Linked DNA regions of Arabidopsis thaliana. The protein of the gene in region 2 interacts with the protein of the main gene of each other region in a biochemical or structural test. Each region holds a gene or a part of one and is shown on either strand. Other genes may lie near its edges.

What was found. Proteins that work in one complex are often made in the same cells at the same time.
Region 1: the proteins of DRM2 (region 2) and UVR8 form a complex in vitro, tested with the Arabidopsis thaliana proteins (one study listed by BioGRID).

The regions. Positions count from the first base shown.
Region 1 is NC_003076.8:25,557,754-25,561,508, forward strand, and holds the start of UVR8 (Regulator of chromosome condensation (RCC1) family protein), read right to left. Parts: upstream 1,747-3,755; 5' UTR 1,663-1,746; intron 1,232-1,662; 5' UTR 835-1,231; coding exon 741-834; intron 554-740; coding exon 367-553; intron 176-366; coding exon 29-175; intron 1-28. Other genes in the region: PP7 (serine/threonine phosphatase 7), read right to left, coding at 3,583-3,678. UniProt on the Arabidopsis thaliana protein: UV-B specific signaling component that acts as a UV-B photoreceptor and plays a key role in establishing UV-protective responses in plants.
Region 2 is NC_003076.8:4,716,646-4,720,400, forward strand, and holds the start of DRM2 (domains rearranged methyltransferase 2), read right to left. Parts: upstream 2,060-3,755; 5' UTR 1,934-2,059; coding exon 1,811-1,933; intron 1,733-1,810; coding exon 1,600-1,732; intron 1,525-1,599; coding exon 1,475-1,524; intron 1,378-1,474; coding exon 1,278-1,377; intron 1,200-1,277; coding exon 1,153-1,199; intron 1,078-1,152; coding exon 973-1,077; intron 846-972; coding exon 749-845; intron 214-748; coding exon 116-213; intron 30-115; coding exon 1-29. Other genes in the region: SK13 (shaggy-like kinase 13), read right to left, coding at 2,705-2,787, 2,877-2,979, 3,061-3,144, 3,228-3,323, 3,466-3,516, 3,630-3,755. UniProt on the Arabidopsis thaliana protein: Involved in de novo DNA methylation. Controls asymmetric and CpNpG methylation. Required for FWA gene silencing but not for the maintenance of SUP gene silencing. Functionally redundant to CMT3 to maintain non-CpG methylation.

The DNA of each region.
Region 1 (3,755 bases), about 21 Mb from region 2:
GAGAAGAACAATAACAAAGAGAAAATACCTCTGGACCTCTCCTTCCATAGTGACAGCCAAACAATGACTATCCCCACAAGCAATCTGCTTGATCCGAATACCGTGCAATGCTTTGATTGGTAGCGGAGTAAACAAGTCGCTTGAGTTACCATGGCCTAATCTCCCAAAATCACCCCTGCAAAGTACACATAAAGGTTAGAGAACACGAGGCTTAAAATATGTGCAAATGAGTGTATAATTAGTTACTGTTTTCTACACAAAAATCTAGAGAGGAACTAGTGGTCATCATCTCATCCCGAATATATCAAACAGACTGAAGAGCAATTGATTCAGCAGCAAAGAAGAAGATAATGATGAGAAACAAACCATCCCCAACTGTAGACTTCCATGCCTGATTGTGAATAAGCAACAGTGTGATCAGCACCACAGGTAACGGAAACAATTTGGTGGCCATCTAAAGCGCTAAGCTGAGTCGGAGAAGGTCGATCCTCTGCATCGCCATGACCTAACTGTCCATCCTCTCCTCGACCCCAAGAACAAACAATGTCACCAGCTACAAAATCAAAACATAAAACTACTCATTAGTAGACGACGAAAGTAAGGGAAACTCGATTAAAGGCCAGATCAAGAGAATTCGCGAAGAGCACAGCCTACTAAAGCAGCGGATTTCACAATTCCGGTGATTATTTGAGTCCGTAATAGAAAAGGAAAAAAAACAGCGAAGAAGAAGAGAGACGTACAGAGAAGAGCGACGGAGTGGCTAGCACCAGCGGAGATGATAAGAACCTTACGAGGAGGAGCCGTAACTTCGTCGGCAGCCATATCCTCCGCCATGGATCACAGTTGCAGTTTTCACAAGATATTTTTTTTGGGGAGAAATGAATTTTGAAAAAAGTAAGAAATTTCTATTTTTTGATAAATTGGGAAATTTTGTAGCTTCTCTTTCACTATCCGTAATCTCTCGAGGGTTGAACAAGGAAAGACAGAGAGAGAAAGCGGTAGATGGTAATAAAGGCGCGATGGAGATTTGCACATGTCATATATCTGCTTTTTGACTTTTTTACTTTTGCTGGTTTTTTTATTTTTTGTTTTAACCGTACAGTAAATCTCTTTTTTGTCGTACAGGCTTTAATTGCAAAAGGGTCCCTCTTCACTTAATAAATCCAAATACGGACCTCACCGGTAAAGTTTTATACTTTCATAATTTCACCATTTCTTTTTTTTTTTGTTTCTTGACCATTTCATTTACCTCTTCACATAAGTAGATTTAAGCCAGTACACATGACATTCTAGATCGTAACTTGTGTTTTATGTGTTCATCATTCACAGGTGTAAGGCGCATAGATCGTAAGAGCCTAATCATATGTTTTTAGTCATGCACACGTGTGAAAGTATACACGTTAGTCAAAAAAAATTCTGAGTTTCATAGTCCAAAGTGACATATCCAATTTGTCTTTTTAGTTATAAATATTCAGTTCAGCTATTTTAGTTTTTCAAAGAGGTCAAATTAAACCTGGATTACAATATGGTGTACAGTTTGTCTTTTTATTATGATTCTGATTATCATATGAAGATACGTCTTGCTACATGTTATTTTATTCAATTATTCAAAATGCATGGTTCTACATATGGAAATATACAGATATACGGTCTACTTACAACTTGATTTTTTTTTTTTTTGTTAAATTACAACTTGAAGATTCTACTATCAACAAAACAAAAACAAAAAAAAATCTTCTATCGATCGAGCGAGATATTCAAATCAAAATACATGGTCAACAGGTCAACTATAGATTCAAAATATATGAATACCTAAATATTCAAATTAAGATATATCAATTCACGATCTAAAACATCCAAATATAGATTTTGCGAAAACGGCCAAAGAAATTATACATAACGGATAAAAATAAATAAAAAATTACATACGGATACTACTTAGTAGTACTTACTAGATTACCTAAAACCCATAATCTTACATATACATATGGATAAAGGTAACATCGATGAATTACTTGTTTCATCCGATCTGGAACGAATATATCACCTCGCTCGACCTAACATTTATGTGAAACTAAAAGGTTGTTTACATTGAGATAAAACCAACATTATATGCTTGTCAGTGAGGGAAGTTGTGACATCTATTATAGTAAGAAAATTAAATGAATGAAGATATTTTTGCATTGCCTGATACATGCATTATATGTATTGTCCAATTTTGGCATTAAAGTCAACGAGACAAAACTCTAGATCAAGATGGTCTCTAATGTTGACATTTGTTGCGACCTCTTTCAAATGGGTTCATCTCATCATTCATCACACAAATTTGTTGCATTATCTTTTATAATCTTGTTAAATAAACATCATTACGAACAATTTGTGGAAAAATGGAAATTATATGAAAGCCATTGGAAGTACTATATACAATTTAATGCACATGACTTCAACAGAAAATACTAGAGAGACAAGATAAGACACCTATAATAATTTAAGCTTGACATGAAGTGCTAAACAATTACTGTTTAGAGACATATATGCACATGAAACTAGGAAAGAAAAAACATTGCGGTGAGTACATGTCAATGATTGTCGATGAACAAATTACAAAACAGTAAAAATCAACACCCACCCACATGGGTTCCGGTATAAGGGTCAAGTTTGGCGATAACACAAATTTTAGGGTTTGCAAAAATGTTGTAACCATAATCGGTGATGAAATATGGAAGATCATGTGAATATTTAGATGATGAAACTATTTGGCTGAAAAGACAGTTAACTTTAAGCTTTATTACTTGAGATGCCCCGTGACAGACAACGAATGACCTTGGAGAGAATCACACAGATGATGCTAGAGGTAGCTTTAATGTGTTATATTTGCGAATGAAGATGCTTCACGCTCCTGTCGAATTCTTCTCTCTTTAGAGAAAGAACAGACCATTATTAGTTTAGCCCACTCAAGAGAAAAAACCGAAAACAATTGCAATAAATGCTTCAAAGTGCAATAAGGAACCATAAGATAGTTAGCATCAACCTCCACTTCATACTGTCTTTTACAAGAAGACATACATTCATCTGAACAAATTGCTACCAAATTCGGCATTTAATAAGCTGTCTCGTTACTTAGGATTTTCATAACCACACAATTTTTTGTTGGATAAGATTCTAGTAATGTGTCAATATTTCAAAGGAAAACTATAATGCCGACAGACACATAACTTGATCCACAAACTTCCATTGGACTAATCTACTACTCGATTTATCATTCAGTTAAAAGCAATTCTATACAATGAAAGTTACTGCAAGTTTGACCTCTCAAGATTTAGGCTAACCTGACAAAACAGAGCAAAATCTTACAAGATTTAGGTTTAAATAAGACGTGTAGGAACCAAGAAACTAAGAACTACATGAGATTTAAGATGGTTCTTATTTCTTCATCTTCCATACATAACTTAAATGTGAATTCTACAAATGATTTTCTTCATCTCTTTTCTTTACATTTGATTCCATTTTATGTTTGCAAATAATGAGCAATCACAACAACTGTAAAAAACATCAATTCAAGATACTCCTTTTCAGCTTCGGTCAGCTATTTGGTTGTTCGTTATTGGTGTCCATTGCTGACTTATCCATCTCATCATCAGAATCAATGACATTTTCAAAGTCATAATATGGATGCGCCTGCACATTTAAAAACCGATGTCGCTATGTATGTGTATCAAAGAAGTAAAACAACTCGTTGGTTCATTATCAGCATC
Region 2 (3,755 bases):
AACCGCCTTTTCTTAATATTATGTCTAGGCTGCATACACCAAATTTCCCAAAATAATCAGTTCCCAAAGGAATTAACTTACAAAAGATAGATTATAAAAAAGGTTTTAACAGTACCTTTTGTTCTTCATGTTCAGTGTAAAACTCACTAAATTCCCTAGCCATTTGAGCAGCACAAAGGAAGTCTGTGAGCTCTGCAATATCCACATTTTCTCCTGAAATTACAATCATATGAGTCTGGATAAGGCAGCAACATACTTAGAGTAAGTAAGAGATATATATTAACATCTGACAACTGTATCATTTAGTGAAATACAATCACAATGCTCAGCAAACACATTTCAAGCCTAAATCACAGAACCAGAGGCTAAAGCCACAATTTGACTATCACATTACACTAAAACTAAGCAATTTGGCTTATGCCACTTCCTCTAGAAGAAACCTGAATAAAAAGGAACTAGTGAACATACAATTTTATCAAGTACTGACAACTTTTATCATTTTGTGAAATACGATCACATTCTCTACAAACATATCTAAGGCGTACATCACAGAACCAGAAGCTAAGACAGAACTAATGACAACTTTCGATTAGTGAAATACAATCAAAATGCTCAGCAAACACATCTAAGGCCTACACCACTAAATCAGAGGCTAAACCAAGCAATTTATACGACGTTGTCTAGAAGAAACCTGAACAAAACGGAACTAAAATTTAATGACAATGGCAATCGTTTAAAATAAAGTTACCACATCTCTCGACAGCTAAAGAAGCTTCAAGCTCTGAGAAACCCATCTTCACCAAAGACCGTATTTTGCTGCCATTTTCATTTGAGTTTGGATCTTTCTGTCATGATTTAAAATAGATTAAGAACGCATAAAATTAGATACATATACAAAATAGCAGTGAGATACATTTACAATTCAAACCTGGGATGCTTAAATATGTTATCACCAACATGAAAGAGTTATACCTCATCATCTGAGTTTAACATATCGGTGTAATTGGTATCATCATCACTTGATGACCAGTCAATGCCATCTTCTTCCTCTACTGCTGCTGGCAGTTTCTTAGCCTCCTACAAACCATCAACGAACTTTAAGTACTATTTTTTTAATGTCAAGAGACAGTATATTTTCGTAACATCGCTTACTGGACAAGAGAGCAATGCATTTGCAATTGCTTCCATATTGTCTTCTCCTGCGATTTATAAAGCAAATATCAGCAAAGTGATAAAGTGTTACTTCTTACTTAAGGAGGAGAGAAATCTGTAAGTACCATGTTCTTGAATGGCTTTGACAACTTTTTCTTCATCAAATCCCATAGCAAGGAAATGATCAATAGCCTTGGACTTGGAAGAACCAGCTTCACAGTCGCTCTTCACAAATAAACAAAGGAGAGGATATGAATACTGTGATGACAGAAGCACATGTAAATGACAAGCAACCCAAGAGATCAAAGTATTAGAAACTCACTGAGTATTTGGAGATAGTATCAATTATAACCGAAGTTTCTACATTTGGTCCTGTATAATTATTGGTATCAAGTTACGGATCATATATATCCAGAAAGGAATACAAACAAGAGAAAAAAGCCTCACCAGTTTCCTTGATCGCTCTAGAAATCATCTCAACAGGAAATCCCATGTCAAACAATGTAGCAAAAACCTCGTCTGAGAAGCCCATCTGAACTAAATCAGTTGTCTCAGTAGGAGAGCTCAAAGAACTAGTTGTCTGAAACAAAACAAAAATTCACATAAGCAATGATTCTGCTTAGGCATAAACTTATGACTGTTGGATTGGATCACTTACCACGGCTACACCAGCTAGATTTTCGACCCTACACTGCATTGCATGTATTGGAGATGACCGTGGAGAAGATTGAAAGTTATCAATCTCCAAAAAATCATCATCATCGTTATTCCAAATCACCATGAGTAATACCCAGAGAATTTTTAGTTTGAGCTACAGATTAAGCAGAAGCGCTCCCGCCGCCGGCAAAGATACTGTCGCCGTTGGTGAGAGAGCTTGTATCGTCGTCAGTTTACTGGAGGAGGAAACCGTGAAACAAAAAGTCGGATGATTCTAAAAAAGAAAAAAACAAATTCAGAGTATTGCAATTTAGTCCCTATTCTTTGTACTACTTCAATAATTAAACTACAATGTTTTTAATTAACTAAATCAATAAACATGAATAAATGACACGTTACGTGACACTTGTGGTGCTTAGAGGCAATTTGCGAAACTAATTTTTATAGTCAATGATAATTCATGTTTAGAGGATATTACCAATTACCGTATTTCGTTTGAGGAAGTGAAATTGGTTAAACTTAAACAAGAAACTCTCGTAAATGACACTTTTACACAGAACATAGGCTTTTTTAAAAATAAGTTTGGCTAAGCTTTGAAGCATGAGCTTTGGATGCATGCAATGACACGTGACGAGCGAGAAGTTTATTTTATAATTTAGTATCCAACATAACTGTAGCGACCGGCGAGTCAAAGACCGTCACATACATTACACTAATCATTGTATGTAATAAAGTACAAAGGTTGTGATAAGACAATAAACAACAAAGATACATGAAAGATGAAAGCTAATGATAATCCTGAGAAGCTATCTCCATTACTTAGAAACGATAAGCATATTATATGCATGTGTACATACACACACACACACATATATATAGAGAGAGAGGAAGAGATTTAGAGAGCGAGGAAGGAACATTGTTTTCGGGCGTGGTCAGGTATAAGCTTGGACAACAACTCTAAACTTGCTCCTTTTAGCTCTACATATTTAACAAGAAGCACACACTTTTAGTCTTTGTTAAAACGGAGCATTGGGAAACAAACAAAAGCATATTTGGAGGAGACAGACCTTGAGGTTTAAAGTTGAAGAGAGGAGGCAAGGCACGACCATTAGGAAGACGTGTATTGGGATCACGTAGCTCATCGAAGAACGGGTGAACTATCGCCTCCATCTACAATAACAAGTAAGTTTGAATCAACCAACCAGATATATCAAACATAATGTTATTATGGTAATCACTTCATTGACTTACAGCGGTTGATCTGAGGTTTGGAGAATACTGGAGAAGTCTTGAGACAAGGTCTACAGCTTCTGGAGGTGTACGCTTATGGAATATCTTAAGAACCAACAACAGATTTTTCAATCGTAAGAATATATGGAGATCAATGTTAAGGAAAAACTGATGATGTGTTTGCTTACTTTGTGCCAAGGATGAGCCTTTATTTGCGGGAATTTGAATTCTGTGTAGTTTGGATTCATGCATTTGATTTCCTCCCGTGTTGGTGTTCCAAGAACCTGTAACACACACAGTAAACAAAATGATGGCAATCAATAGCAGGAAATGGAGCCTCTTCATTCCATATAATCAATGATCCACTCTATGTTCAATATAGCAATGGCTAGGATTATGTGTGTTTGTTTAACCAAATTGAAGTACCTTTATTATCTCAACTAGCTGGTCAACTCCACTCTCACCTGGAAATAGAGGCTAACCAAAAGTTGGACAAGCCAAAGATTGGTAATATATAACTTTAGACATCATTCGGTAAATCAAATCATTTGTAAAAGATAAATGGAGGAAAGTTTGGACAGTCATATTACCTGTCCCAGAAGCAATTCAGCAAGAACACAGCCTGCAGACCATATGTCAATTGTTGTTGTATATTCTGTAGCTCCAAATATAAGTTCAGGTGCTCGATAGTAACGGGAGCAGATGTATGAGATGTT